2 linked regions of the Oryctolagus cuniculus genome follow. The protein of the gene in region 1 purifies or fractionates together with the protein of each later gene. This does not show direct contact. Links are inferred from orthologs where the notes say so. Each region holds a gene or a part of one and is shown in the gene's direction. Other genes may lie near its edges.

Region 1 (6,929 bases):
CTCTCCGTCAAGTGAGTGTTTCCTGCCCCGCTGCCGGGAAGCCGGCTGCCGCTGACGGGAATCGTGCAGCCAGCGTCGGTGTCTGGCCACGCAGACTGCCGGGGGTCCAACCAGCCTGGACAGCATTTTCATTTTATTTTGAAACCCTGATGGTCCGGGCTTGCTGCCCTGGATGGAGCCCCGGGGGAGCCGTCTCCAGGACTGAGGCAGGCAGCGTCCCTCCATGGGCATCCGCCGGGGGTTCCTGCAGTGGACTCAGTGCTCAGATGACCAGTCCCGTCCTGGACCTCCCTGTAACTAACAAGGTGCTGGGGAGGATTTGGGGGGAGCCGTCCCAGGTGGTAGATTTGTGGTAAGGAGCTAGCAAGCAGGAGTGGAGAAGATTTTGAGTTCTCATTTCCATGTGGGTTTTTTTCTTTGCTTTTGTTTTTTTTGCTTTCAGTCCTGTTCTGATTAATAAATTATCATAGGAAACCCTCCCTCGGAAATTTTACAAATCACTTTAGTGTTTATACACATAAACACATGTATATGGGTAATTAGGTTAAATTAGGTTAAAGCTCAGATTGCCGTTTTATTATAGATTACATTAAAGTTATTTTTATAATTTTTAAAGATTTATTTTATTTATTTGAAAGAGTTACACAGAGAGAAGGAGAGAGAGAGGGGTCTTCCGTCGCTGGTTCACTCATCAATTGGCCGCAATGGCCAGAGCTGCACTGATCCAAAGCCAGGAGCCAGGAGCTTCCTCTGGGTCTTCCCACATGGGGGCAGAGGCCCAAGGAGTTGGGCCATGTTGTACTGCTTTCCCAGGCCACAGCAGAGAGCTGGATCAGAAGTGGAGCAGCCGGGCCTCAACCCGGCGCCCATATGAGATGGTGGCACTGCAGGTGGCAACTTCACCCGCTTCGCCACAGCGCTGGCCCCTAAAATTATTTTTAACATGAGGGTAAGAGAATAATTTACAAATGATATAAAGCACGAGACTTTAAAAGAGAACTTAGTATTTTGGTTTAAGATTAATGTGTGGTTAAAGTATAGATTTTTTTTTTAACAGCAGATTTAAATATAGAGATGTGTCTTTTTTAAAATGTGAATTAGGACCCATGATTGTGGGTATTTGTTTGTTTGATTGTTTTCCATTTTATTTGAAAGACAGAGACCAAAAGAGATCCCCCCTTCTGGTTCACTCCCCAAATGCCTGCAACAGCTGGGGCTGGGCCAAGCTGAAGCCAGGATCCCAGACTCCATCCAGGTCTCACGTGGGTGACAGGGGCTCCTGTGAGTGAGCCGCCTCCGCTGCCTCCCAGGATCTGCGTGAGCAGGAGGCTGGAGTCGGAGCAGAGCTGGGGCTCAGACACTGATGTTTGTGCAGGCTTCTTAACCAAAGGCCTGTCCAGTAAGGACTCCTTGAAGGGCTTGATTGAACATCGCAAGTGAAGTTCTGCTGCAGAGCGTGGCCCGGGGAGGGGAGGGCGGTGGGGTCATCATCTGTGTGCATCTCGGTCCCTTGTGTTTTATGCTGACTGAGTATAAAGTAAACGTGCGACTAGGAATACAAGCAGTTGGTCATTGGCTGGTGGCCAGCACCTCCGGGCACTCAGTGTGGGACACTCCTGCCACAGACACCAAAACCCGCAGCACTCCCTTTTATCAAATTCTCTATTCATTGTCTGAGAAATAAAGTGTGAGACTGCCTGTGACAACAGAAAATGTGTCACCAAGGAGGCTCAAGAATCAACAGCCTCAGCAGTGTTTCTCTGGTTTTTAAGATGTTTTGAGTCAGTGATTCGAGCCCTTGTAGTTGGCAGAGTGCTCACCCGGGACCTTACGCACCTAAGAAACTGACCGCGTCCACCGCCAGCGAGTCCCCAGGGCCAGAGGTGCAGGACAGGCCCTTCTTCCAGAAGCCCTCTCACTAGCACTGCACCCCCCCACACACACCCCTCCCCCTCCTCTCTCCCCCGTGTGTGTGTGTGTTGTGTGTTGTGTGTGGGTGTGTGAGAAAGCAGTACAGCAGCCACCCCCATCCGCGGCTTCACGGTCCACAAGTGACTGTGGTCTAAAAATACTGATCGGGACATTCCAGGAACAAACAGTTCAGATTTTAAATGACTTTTATTTTTTTGTGGTTGTTGGTTGTTACAATTGTCTTGTGTATTGTTAGTTTACTATACCTAACTTACTAATTTAACTTTATCATAGAAGTGTGTGTGTGTGTGTGTGTGTGGTGTTTGCAAGAGAAAGCAGTATATATGCAGTTTGGTACTATCCACCGTCTCACGCATCCACTGGGGGTCTTAGAACCCCCCGCAGCACACACACACACACACACAAACCACACTATGGATAGTGGGGGAGGGAATGCCAGGGCCACTGGATTGTCTTCCCCCAACCCCACTTGGTATCCTGCACTCCGGCTTCCTTGAAGCCCAGTCCTGCCACCTGCTGGCTGTTTTTGGAAAGTGTTGGCTTCTTTAGGCTTTAATACTGAAGGAGGGCCTTTGACGTTAAAATTATCTATTTACTTATTTGAAAGAGTTGCAGAGAAAAAGAGAAATCGGCTGCAATGGCCAGCACTAAGCCAGGCTGAAACCGGGAGCTTCCTCCCAGTCTGCCACGTGGGTGGCAGGGACCCAAGCACTGGGGCCTTCGTCTGCTGCTTTTCCTACGCCATTAGCATCCAGACTTGACCGTCGCTCGTATGGAATGCCAGCATTGCAGGCGAGGGCTTTACCTGTTATGGCGCAATACCGACCCAAAGGAGGGCTTTGAGGAACACGTGCTCACTGAGTCCTTGGAGGATTCAGCAGGGAACGGGACAGCAGGTGTCACTGGCAGCTCTGTGTTGCTGGCCAGCATTAAGGGGAGTGGATTTTCTGGCGATGGAGGGTGTGGGGACTTTGGTGCCTGGGCCTCTTTTGCTGTCCCAGTACATCCTTTTTCCCCCCACGGCCTTTATCCCGTGAGTAGAACTCAAATCCCCAAGTGGGAAATGACTGGAGTATTTCTGGTACCTGGAGCTTTGTTGAGCGTATCTGCTTCCTCACCTTATTTTCTATCCCACCTTTGAGATTTTAATTATTTTTGCTTGAAGCGTAGTTAATTAAGGTATATTCCTTGTCTTAAGTGAGGCTGATGTAGTTGGTACAGTGCAGGGCACAGCATGGGTTGGGACATTCCTTTTTTTTTTAAAGGTAATTTACATGAAGGGCAGAGTTGCAGAGACAGAGGAGATAAAGACAGAGAGCGGTAGGGGCGGCGGCGGGTGGGGGGGGTCTTCCATGCTCTGGTTACCTCCCCACATGGCCGCAATGACGAGGACTAGGCGGGTCTGAAGCCAGGATCCTCTTCCAGGTCTCCCACACGGCGGCAGGGGCCCCAGATATCGGACCATCTTCTGCTGCTTTCCCAGTTGCATTAGCAGGGAGCTGGGTCAGAAATGGAGCATCTGGGGCTTGAACTGACACCCGCATGGGATGCTGGTGCCACGGGCAGCGCCTCTGCGCAGTGTGCTGCAGCGCCGGCCTCATTCTCCATCCCATAAATGCCTGTAGAATTAGACCGAGTGGGGCCTGGCCTGTCCCGTGAGGGCTCTTTGTGTTGTTGCGGGTGACCGTCAGTCACGGTGAGGGTCTCGGCACGCTCAGCGGCCGTCCCACCCTCTCCAGCCAGGCTCAGTGGCGTGTAGCCAACCGGCCCGCAGGCTGTGAGGAGCGTTGCCAGACAGTGGCTTTCTCTGGACCCCTCCTGTTTGGCAGAGGGCCTCATGGGCCAGGCCAGAGCCCTTTGACCCACGTGCTGTGTTCTCTGCCCCACCCCCAGGTTTGGAAATGACGTGCAGCACTTCAAGGTGCTCCGAGACGGAGCGGGGAAGTATTTCCTCTGGGTGGTGAAGTTCAACTCCTTGAATGAGCTGGTGGATTACCACAGGTCGACGTCTGTCTCCAGAAACCAGCAGATATTCCTGCGGGACATAGAGCAGGTGCCGCAGGTAAGGCTGGGGCAGAGTCGGGCTCACCTCCAGCGGTTAGGAGCAGGTGCCTTTCAGAGGGTCACTTCCAGCCCCCGTGCTCAGGACATCACCCTTAGCTCACACAGAGGCCTGCGGTTTGCAGTCAGGTGTGTGGCTCGCTCACCACCTGTCTGTCAGCTATTCTGTCCCGGGAAGAAAACTGTGAGGGGTGTCCTGTAGGGAGGGTTGGGGCCTGTGCTCGCACCTGTGCGCCTGTCCCTGGCGGCCCAGCTGAGTCCACCACCTTATGTTTTCAAGCTCATCCAGATGTTTTGACTGCAAACCCTCGAGGGTGTTGGCAGCGACAGGAGCTCAGAGGTGTTGGATCCTGGGCTGTGCAGGAGCCCAGACTCCCAGGGGTGCTGACTATGCTGCTGACACGCCCTGGGGAGTGCAGCCCCCGAGCGTGGGTGCCCAGCGCAGGAAGGACTCCAGGCTCGGGGTGTCACACGCGTGTTTTCCCTGCTCCTCTTTTGCAGCAGCCGACGTACGTCCAGGCCCTCTTTGACTTTGACCCCCAGGAGGACGGAGAGCTGGGGTTCCGCCGGGGAGATTTCATCCATGTCATGGATAACTCTGACCCCAACTGGTGGAAGGGGGCTTGCCACGGGCAGACCGGCATGTTCCCCCGCAATTACGTCACCCCCGTGAACCGGAATGTCTAAGAATCAAGGGGAGGTTATTTAAAGCCGTGAAAAGTTGAAAACACGAAAGAATGACAGCCCCGGGCTGCCTCTCCCAGCAGCCTTGCAGGAGCCCGGACACCTGGCTGGGTCACCTCACGCCCGTGACTCTCTGACCTGGGTTGGAACTTCGGGGGGTGGGAGGGGGCATTGGATATAAAAATGCCAAAACTTACCTATTAAGAAAAGAGTTTTTATTACAGATTTTCACCGCTGCTCCTTTGCCCCGCCTTTGTCCTTTTTCTCGTCCTTTTTCTCCCGTTCTTCAGTGCATGACGTGTAAGGCCACGTATAGTCCTAGCTGATGCCAATAATAAAAGAAAAGAAACCACGTGCGCTGGTATCTTCTCTATGCAAAATGTCTGTTTAGTTGGAACAACTACTGCTGTGTTCTCCGTGCGTGCACACAGAAAGGAGCAGGCGGGCAGCTTCTGCCGGGTCAGGGTGGCGTCCGCGGGCCCAGCCTGGGGCTGTTCTGTCGGGGGTGGGAGGGAGGCGTGTCACCTGCCCCTCGGCTTCCTGAGAAAGTCGGACTGAAAGCCTCCGTCGCTGGCTCCACGTGGGAGCGGCGTCCCTGAGCATTGCTGTTTCCCATGGTGCCTTTCCCCATGTCCCGGGTTGCTTAGGAGGGATGTGTCTTACTTGTTTTGTTTTCAGATAAATTAAAGACAGTCCAAATTGGCCTTCCAGCCGGTTCGTCTCCCACTCTCTGTAAATCCTTTTCCCTCAGGGGAGGGGAAAGCAGGGTAGAGGGAGGAGACAGCGGAAGGCGGGGAGGGGGGCGTTCTACCCGTACCAAGCCAGAAGGCCAGGGTCTGAGGGAGCCGCCGGCCCTGGTGTGCCGGGGAAGGGCCGGCTGCAGCTCTACGGCGTCTGGCTGGATCTGAGTCCTTGCCTTGTGGTCCGGGTATTGTCTACCCTGCCGACCCCAGAGACCCCCGCTCAGACCCCTGGAGCCAGCAAGTCTCAGACACAGGAGAGCCAGTGGAGGAAGTGCTGTTAGGCTGCTGTTCTTGAGCTGCGGCAGGTGGGACTGTGGGCCTGCGTTAGGTTGCAGAAGGAGAGTATTTGTGTTTTTCTTGCTCCTGACATTAGGTCATGGCTCTCACCTTTTGTGTCCCCTCACCTGTCCAGGTGAGCAGCAGGGCAGTGTGCAAAAGCTGGGACACACTGTTCCTTGTCCCGTTCGCAGCAGGCCGGCCCCCAGCACCATCCCCACCCGGGGGGGGGGGGGGGGGGCGCTGGGAAGACAGAGGCTGGAGCCCCTCTAAGCTCTCCGTGTCAGCTCTCCGTCCCTTGTCGTTTGGGCTCGTGGGCTTTTCCTCCCCAGGACACGGACGAGGCTGCTGCTTTCCCTCCCTGGGAGTGCTGGTGGCCTTGGGCCTCTGTGACCCTTCAGTGGCATCTCCCCAGACTGTGGTGTGGAAACAGACTCAGCCTGCGGGTCCCGGAGGCCTGGAGGCCGCTGCTCCTGTGGACAGAGCATGTTCACGCCTCTCCTGGCTCCCGTCCGACTGCTCCCGCCCTCCCTCCCGCGTTGCTGATCAAAGGAACACCTGGCGTCCACACCTGGACCGTCTGATTGTTTTATTTTGGAGTTGGTGTATATCATGAAGCCTTGCTGAACTAAGTTTTGTGTGTATATATTTAAAAACAAATCCGTGTTTAACTAAAAAGACCTATGTACGTAATCCTGTAACTCTGCGGGTGGCACTTGGTAGGTAGTGATTAACTGTGAATAATAAACGTACAATGAATTCTTCATTCTGCTTCTTTTTGCTCCCCCTTGCTTCATTTTATGTAAAAATTTGGAAACTGCGTAAGGTGTAAGGTCAGGCAGTCGGGGCCTCTCGGGAGTGATGCCAGCCCTGTCACTGTGGCGTGGTGGGTTGAGCCTCCACCTGCCACGCCGGCATCCCAACTGGGCTGCTCCAGTTCTATCCAGCTCCCTGCTGATGGCCCAGGAAGCAGTGGAAGATGGCCCAAGTGCTTGGGCCCCTGCACCCGTGTAGCAGACCCAGAAAAAGCTCCTGGCTCCTGGCTTCGGATTGGCCCATCTCCTGCCGTTGCAGCCATTTGGGGAGTGAACGCGCAGATGGAAGACCTCTCGCTGTCCTCTGTAACTCTGCCTTTTCAAGTAAATAAATCTTTAAAAAAAAGATTTTGGGAAAGCTAGTTAACAGTGCAGACTCAGGACAGTTTGGTTGAGGTGCAGGGAGGAGTCCTTGGTG
Region 2 (7,364 bases), on another chromosome or scaffold:
GTGTGTAGTGTGTATCATATGTGTCATGTGTATATATGGTGTGTGTGTGTGTGAGTAATTTAGATCTATATGTGGTGTGTGTATATGTAAGTGGTACCTGTGTGTGTGCTATGCGTGTGTAGTTTAGGTCTGTATGTGGTATGTGTATGTATATAGTATCTCTGTGTGTGTAGTTTGGATCTATATGTAGTGTGTGTATACGTATGTGGTATCTGGGTGTGTGTGTGTGTGTGTAGTTTGGATCTGTGTGTGGTGTGTGTATGTGTGTGTGTAGTTTGGATCTGTGTGTGGTATGTGTATGTGTGTGTGTAGTTTGGATCTGTGTGTGGTGTGTGTATGTTTGTGTGTGTGTGTAGTTTGGATCTGTATTTGGTGTGTGTATGTGGTATCTGTGTTTGTGTGTAGCTTGGATCTCTGTGTGGTGTGTATATGTGTATGTAGTATCTGTGTGTGTGTGTGTGTAGTTTGGATCTGTGTGTGGTGTGTGTAAGCGTATGTAGTATCTATGTGTGTATGTAGTTTGAATGTGTGTGTATGTGGTATGTGTGTGTGTGTGGTATAGTCACTGGGCAGAATAACACACAGGGTCATGCTCTCTTGGCCCCAGATGAACTACGCGTTGTATGAGTAACTGCGCCACGACCAGCCCCTTTGGGTTGCAATGCGTCCCTCCTGGGATCCTTGCTGGCCGGGCAGTGCGTATCCTCCCTGTTTGCAGACTTTCTCCGGGTGTTTGTCTTCTGCAGCGTGGGTTTATGCAAGGCACGCAGCTCTGGCCTCAGACTGTCTCTGGCCATGCAGATGGGAAGCGGGGTGCCCAGCGTGAGGTCTGGAGAAGTGGGGGGGGGCAGCGTGGCGCCCCAGGCTGAGGGATGGGGACATGTGGGAAGGACACAACGTTCTGTGTCTCAGGCCTTGAGGTGACCGCAGGTGACGGTTCTGCACGGCCTGTGACCGTGGCCCTCACTTCAGCTCTCACGGCTTCTACCACCGTGTGTGGCTACACAAAGCAGCAGCCTCTCCTGGTTCAGGCGGAAACTGTTTAGTGATGCCTCTGCTGTGAATTAGCCGTGATGCGGAGCAGGTCCTCTGCACCCACAGAGGAGCGGTGGCTGTCAGCTCACGCTGGCGTCTGCCTCCAGCGTGGACCCTCAGGATGAGCTCTGAGTCATGTGTGGCAACATTGCTTTTGCTTATTCCCTACTTTTTATTCTTAGGCTTCTTTATCCCAACCAAAAAAAAAAAATCGATCAATTTGGTCACTTTGGTCAGATGCTCTGTGTCCGGGTTAACAATTCAGAGGGTGAGAAGCAGGTGTGGCACAACAGGTGAAGCCGCACTTGGAATGCCCGCATCCCATGTCAGAGTGCCTGGGATGGAGCCACGCTCCCACTTCCAATCCAGCTTCCCGCCAACGTGCCTGGGAGGCAGCAATACTTGGATTCCTGACACCCATGTGGGAGACCCAGATGGAGTTCCTGGCTTCCGGCATCAGCCTGGCCCAGCCCTGGCCGATGTAGACATTTGGGGAATGAACCAGCCGATGGAACATCTCTGTCTTTCCCTCTCTTTCTATCACTCTTCCTTTCAAATAAAAAAATAATCTGTGAAATAGGATTCAGAGAGTGTGCAGGGAAACTGTGATAATTGTACAGGACAAAGTAATCCTGACCCAAATAGAAATGGACAAAAGGCCAACGTGCCACTGGACAAGGTTTACTGGGGGTTTAAGCACAAGGGAGACAGCTTCGATGAGGGGGGCTGGGCAGGGGTTTTTACAGGATGGGGGCCTCCTCTCAGCACATGACACTTGGACTTGTACCCAGCTCAGTATTGTGTGCATGCACAGTTCCTTTTTTTTTTTTCTTTTTGCACACAATGGGCTCAAAATTGTGGCATTGGTCATTACCAGCACCACCCCAGAAAGGTCATGTACCTATCACATTGGACTGTTCTGGGCACGTGCAGGTTGGGGGAATCCTTAATAGGGCAGGTAGAGTCTGGTTGCTGTCTCTCCTGATTGGGTTGGAGCTGCAGCTGGACACCCATCAGGTGGGAGGACCCTGACTTAGTAAATTCTGCTTTTATCCAGTCTCAAAGGGACCCCAGCGTGGTGGGCAGCCCAGCGAGGGGAGTGCTTCCATTCTGAGCTGGACTGGCAGGTCTCCGGTTTGAAAGGATCCAGGGGGTTTTAGCAAATGCCCCTTGCTGCTTGGGCTCCTCACATTGAGTGATCTGAGAATCTGTCCCCCCACACTCACGTGGAAGTCTAATCCACAAGGTCTTGTGTTCATGGTGCTAGGGGGCTGGGGACTTGATCCAAGTGTGCTGCTCCCCGGTGGAACCTTTGGGCAGTGATTAGATTGGATTAAATCATGGCGTGGAGCCCTCAGGATCAGATCCTAGTGGCTTTATAAGGAAAGAGGAGATATAAACAGACATGTATGCTCCCACCACGATATGTTATATTCCAAAAGTCCTTTGCCAGAGCCTTGCTATGTTATTTGGAGCCAGCACATCTAGAAGCATGAGCCAAAGTAAACCTCTTTATAAAGTATCCTTTCTTGGGCATTTCATTACAGTAACAGAAGCTGACCGACACTCCCATCTTTGTCTTGCCCCAGGTGGACCCCTGCATGTGCCCTTGCATCTCCTAAGGGGCCAGCACAGCCATGGCCAGCAACACGGTGGACAGTGCCAACCACCTGCCCTTCTTCTTCGGCAACATCACCCGGGAAGAGGCCGAGGATTACCTGGTCCAGGGAGGCATGACTGATGGGCTCTACCTGCTGCGCCAGAGTCGCAATTACCTGGGCGGCTTTGCCCTGTCGGTGGCCCACGGGAGGAAGGCGCACCACTACACCATCGAGAGGGAGCTCAATGGGACCTATGCCATCGCTGGTGGCAGGACACACAGCAGCCCCGCCGAGCTCTGTCACTACCACTCTCAGGAGTCCGACGGCCTCATCTGCCTCCTCAAGACGCCCTTCAACCGGCCCCCTGGGGTGCAGCCCAAGACCGGGCCCTTTGAGGACTTGAAGGAGAGCCTCATCAGGGAGTACGTGAAGCAGACGTGGAACCTGCAGGTGAGGTGTGGCCAGCCCTGAGTTCATAGGTCCCTATAAACCCACACGTGCAGAACCATGGTGCATGTAAACCATACCACAGCGCCCAAATCCGTGCATAGTTTTTTCGTAATATGCATTTCCCATGAACTTTGAAGATCCCATGTGTGCATGGATTTCAAAGTATTTTGCACAAAATTTTTTTTTTTTTAATTCTATCTTCTGCAAACCTATTGAAGAAATCTCCCGGCAACCATTTCCGTAGTCATCAACCCTGGCTCCAAATGCTCCAAGAAGACTGCCCTTCCTCTGTACAAACACAGCCCAGAGAGTGGGCCCCTGCCCTCCAGCCACGTGGGTGTCTCCACTGCAGGAAGCCATTCCCCTGCCACCCAGTTCATGGCGGGCCCTTTGGGAGAGGCATGGCTGGGCATCTATTGTTATTTATTCTCCTAACAAGGTCATGGTGTGCCCGCTGTTTGGAACCAGATTTTTTTTTTTTGACAGGCAGAGTGGACAGTGAGAGAGAGAGAGAGACAGAGAGAAAGGTCTTCCTCTGCCGTTGGTTCACCCTCCAATGGCCGCCACTGCTGGCGCGCTGCGGCCGGCGCACCGCGCTGATCCGATGGCAGGAGCCAGGTGCTTATCCTGGTCTCCCATGGGGTGCAGGGCCCAAGCACTTGGGCCATCCTCCACTGCACTCCCTGGCCACAGCAGAGAGCTGGCCTGGAAGAGGGGCAACCGGGACGGAATCCGGTGCCCTGGCCAGGACTAGAACCTGGTGTGCTGGCGCCGCAAGGTGGAGAATTAGCCTAGTGAGCCGCGGCACCGGCTTGGAACCAGATTTAATAGCTTCCTAAATCTCTTGCAGACATTTCTATGTATCAGTTACCCTGTCTTTGGTTGCCTGGCATTGCCTGTTGTGTACCAAATTTATTTAGCTAGTCCTTGTTGATGGACATTTTTATGGTTTGAAAAATAATTCTCCTAACAACAGTATTCTGTCCCCATCTTAAACTAAGCTTATGTGCAATGCCTGCCAGATAAACTCTAAAAAGGCTAGGTTTGTCACAGCCCAGGGTATGAGTGTGTGTGTGTGTGTGTGTGTGTGTGTTTAATGTGGATACATTGACGAGTTCCATCTACAAAGGTGACAGAGGTTGTAACCATTTGCGCTCCTGCCACATTCATTCTTGATAGTATTTGGTGTCAAGAGCCAACAGTTTAGATTGATAGTCTCTTCTTGGACATAAGTGCTCAACCACTTCTCCTTGTGCTCCCGGGAGGTCTGTCTTGTGCTTTGCTATGTATTTGATGCATGCTGATTTATGGCCATATGGATCCTCTGAGGACGCCATAGAGACTCCGTTTATTCATTCAGTATGGCCTGTGTTAAATTCAGCCTCGCAGAGGGATTTTGCAATAATGTACTCAGTATTTTTCATTCGTATTCATTGGGTATGTCTTAGGCCATGCATTTATTCTTTATTAAGTCAGGTAAGTCATATTTCTTGGGTGGAGTTTACACACAGTGAATTGATCCGTTTTGAGTGTGCAGTCCTATGATCTTTGACATATGCCTGGTATCACATAATCCCTACATCGTCAAGGCAGGCATTAGCTCCCTCACCTTCATCTGTCCCAGCTCCTGGAAACCGCTCATTTGATTCCTGTCCCCACCGTTTCGCCTTTTCTAGAATGTCACGTAAGGGGAATTCCACAGCATGTAGCCTTCGCAGAGTGGCTTCCTCCACAAAACGCGATGCGCCTGCTATTCAGCCGTGGCATTGCCGGTGCCCAGGGCTATGTCTGGCCTGTGATCTACAGCCATGTGCTTTTTCCTCCGTTCACCTTGTTCCGCGTGCCCCGTGGTGTATGACTGTCGCCGTCCTTGTCTCCCTCCCTGCCTTCTGCCTCCCTTCTTCCAGCTCCTGCTGTGGGATGGCAACAGTTATGTTGTTAGTGCTTCTCTTCTCCAATGCGAGGAATCGAACTTTGGCTCTTCAGTGACTAATGAGATGATCTATGTCTCTCCCACCGAAAAAGACAGAGAAACCAAATGGCGTGGCTGCCAGCCCCTTCCCCCATGTTGGATTTCCCCATCGTTAAGTCCGCATGGTCAAGGCTTTCTGCCATCATGCGTGTGATCCCATTTCTTGCAGGTGCAGGTGCAGGCTGGGGTGGGGGAATGAGTACTCGGGGAAGCCACACGCGCTTTCCTTGCAACTGCCTGGAGGTTGCGACACAGGACAGCCAGGCCATCTAGGCTGCAGGCAGGAGGCCGCGCCCTAGACCTTGTGGGTTATACCAGGTGCCATGCAATAGCTTTTGACAGGCCAGTCTCCTTATTCTACAATCTGGTTTTTTTTTTTTTTTTTTTTTTTTTTTTTTTTTACTATACTCTTGAGGATACTTAAGTAATATACAGGGAGTCTTCAAAGTTCTTGGAAAATGCATATTATGAAAAATCTATTCATGGTTTTCCAGGTTTTTTTTTTTTTTTGCACCAGAAAATGGTATCTTAATTCCATTTCCATGAGGATCCTCAGATAAAAGTCTTACTGTTTGTATTTAATTTTTTTTTTGACAGGCAGAGTGGACAGTGAGAGAGAGAGAGACAGAGAGAAAGGTCTTCCTTTGCCGTTGGTTCACCCTCCAATGGCCGCCGCGGCTGGTGCGCTGCGGCTGGTGCGCTGTGGCCGGCGCACCGTGCTGATCCGATGGCAGGAGCCAGGTGCTTCTCCTGGTCTCCCATGGGGTGCAGGGTCCAAGTACTTGGGCCATCCTCCACTGCACTCCCTGGCCACAGCAGAGAGCTGGCCTGGAAGAGGGGCAACCGGGACAGAATCCGGCACCCCGACCGGGACTAGAACCCGGTGTGCCGGCGCCTCAAGGTAGAGGATTAGCCTAGTGAGCCGCAGCGCCGGCCTGTTTGTATTTAATAAATGAGTAGACGATGAGTGAGTGAATGAACCAAGTCTGATCCCATTGTAGCATGGAAGGGTGTTAGGACCCAGGACAGACCGAAAATGACTTCTGTGCATGTCATTTTTTTCTTTTTTTAGCTGAGAACTCTTTTTTTTTTTAAGATTTTGTTTATTGAATAAATAAAGATAGAGTTAAAGACAGGGGGAAGGAGAAACAGAGAGAAAGGTCTCCCATCCACTGGTTTGAAAAGGCCAGAGTTGCGCGGATCCAAAGCCAGGAGCCAGGAGCTTCTTCCTGGTCTCCCACACAAGTGCAGGGGCCCAAGTTCCATCTTCCACTGCTTTCCCAGGCCATAGCAGAGAGCTGGATTGGAAGTGGAGCAGTGGAGCCGGGTCTCGAACTGGCGCTCATAAAGGAATTTGGCACCCCAGGCAGAAGCTTTACCCGCTATGTCACAGCAACGGCCCTATGTTTTTGTTATTTTTCCAGGGTTGTGGGTTCTCAATTTGTATCCATTTCTTTTTGTTTGTTTGTTTTTCTTGAAAGGCAGAGTTAGAAAGAGAGAGAGACAGAGACAGAGAGAGAGAGAGAGATCTGCCGGTTCACTCCCCAAAATGTCCACAATGGCCGGGGCTGGGTGAGGTCTAAGCCAGGAGCCTGGAATTCCATCCTGGTCTCCCACGTGAGTGCAGGGGCCCAACAATTTGGCCCATTTTCCACTGCTTTTCCCAAGTGCATTACAGGGAGCAGGATCGGAAACGGAGCAGCTGGGGCTCAAACTGGCGCCCATAAGGGATGCCGGCGGCGCTGGCGAGGCTTAGCCCACTGCACCCCAGCACCAGCCCGGTACCTGTCTCCATCTGTGCCTGGCTTGCTCACTGTCTTCCCTCGCTGCAGGGCCAGGCTCTGGAGCAAGCCATCATCAGTCAGAAGCCGCAGCTGGAGAAGCTGATCGCCACCACCGCCCACGAAAAGATGCCCTGGTTCCACGGGAAAATCTCTCGGGATGAATCTGAGCAAACCGTCCTGATCGGATCGAAGACGAACGGAAAATTTCTGTAAGTGTGGCGCGTCCTCTTTCCTCTCACCTCTGACGACGGGGCTGCTTGGGTGATGAGGGGTAATTCGGCATCCCCAACACTAGACGCTGTGATCTGAAGATGTGCTGGGTGGAAGCTGTCCCTTGTGACCCAGCCTGACCTTCCAGTGAGCTCTTCCCGGGCACTCAGCCCCGCAGCCTGCATTTCATGGCCAACACGGGCTGTGTGACCCTAACCGTGTGGCCAGCTAAAAAAGGCTGCTGGTGGTCCACTCAGAGTCCCCACGTGATCTCAGCGGACGAGAGGACTATTTTTACTTTTAACCAAGCTG

What was found.
Region 2: the proteins of GRB2 (region 1) and SYK purify together in Homo sapiens (affinity purification with western blotting; 3 studies listed by BioGRID, with this or other methods). This does not show direct contact. The link is inferred for Oryctolagus cuniculus from reciprocal best matches to the Homo sapiens genes GRB2 and SYK.

What each region holds. Positions count from the first base shown.
Region 1 is NC_091448.1:5,228,200-5,235,128, forward strand, and holds the end of GRB2 (growth factor receptor-bound protein 2), read left to right. Parts: coding exon 1-11; intron 12-3,825; coding exon 3,826-3,994; intron 3,995-4,494; coding exon 4,495-4,680; 3' UTR 4,681-5,029; downstream 5,030-6,929. UniProt on the Homo sapiens protein: Non-enzymatic adapter protein that plays a pivotal role in precisely regulated signaling cascades from cell surface receptors to cellular responses, including signaling transduction and gene expression.
Region 2 is NC_091432.1:139,308,672-139,316,035, forward strand, and holds part of SYK (tyrosine-protein kinase SYK), read left to right. Parts: intron 1-2,624; 5' UTR 2,625-2,672; coding exon 2,673-3,086; intron 3,087-6,890; coding exon 6,891-7,051; intron 7,052-7,364. UniProt on the Homo sapiens protein: Non-receptor tyrosine kinase which mediates signal transduction downstream of a variety of transmembrane receptors including classical immunoreceptors like the B-cell receptor (BCR).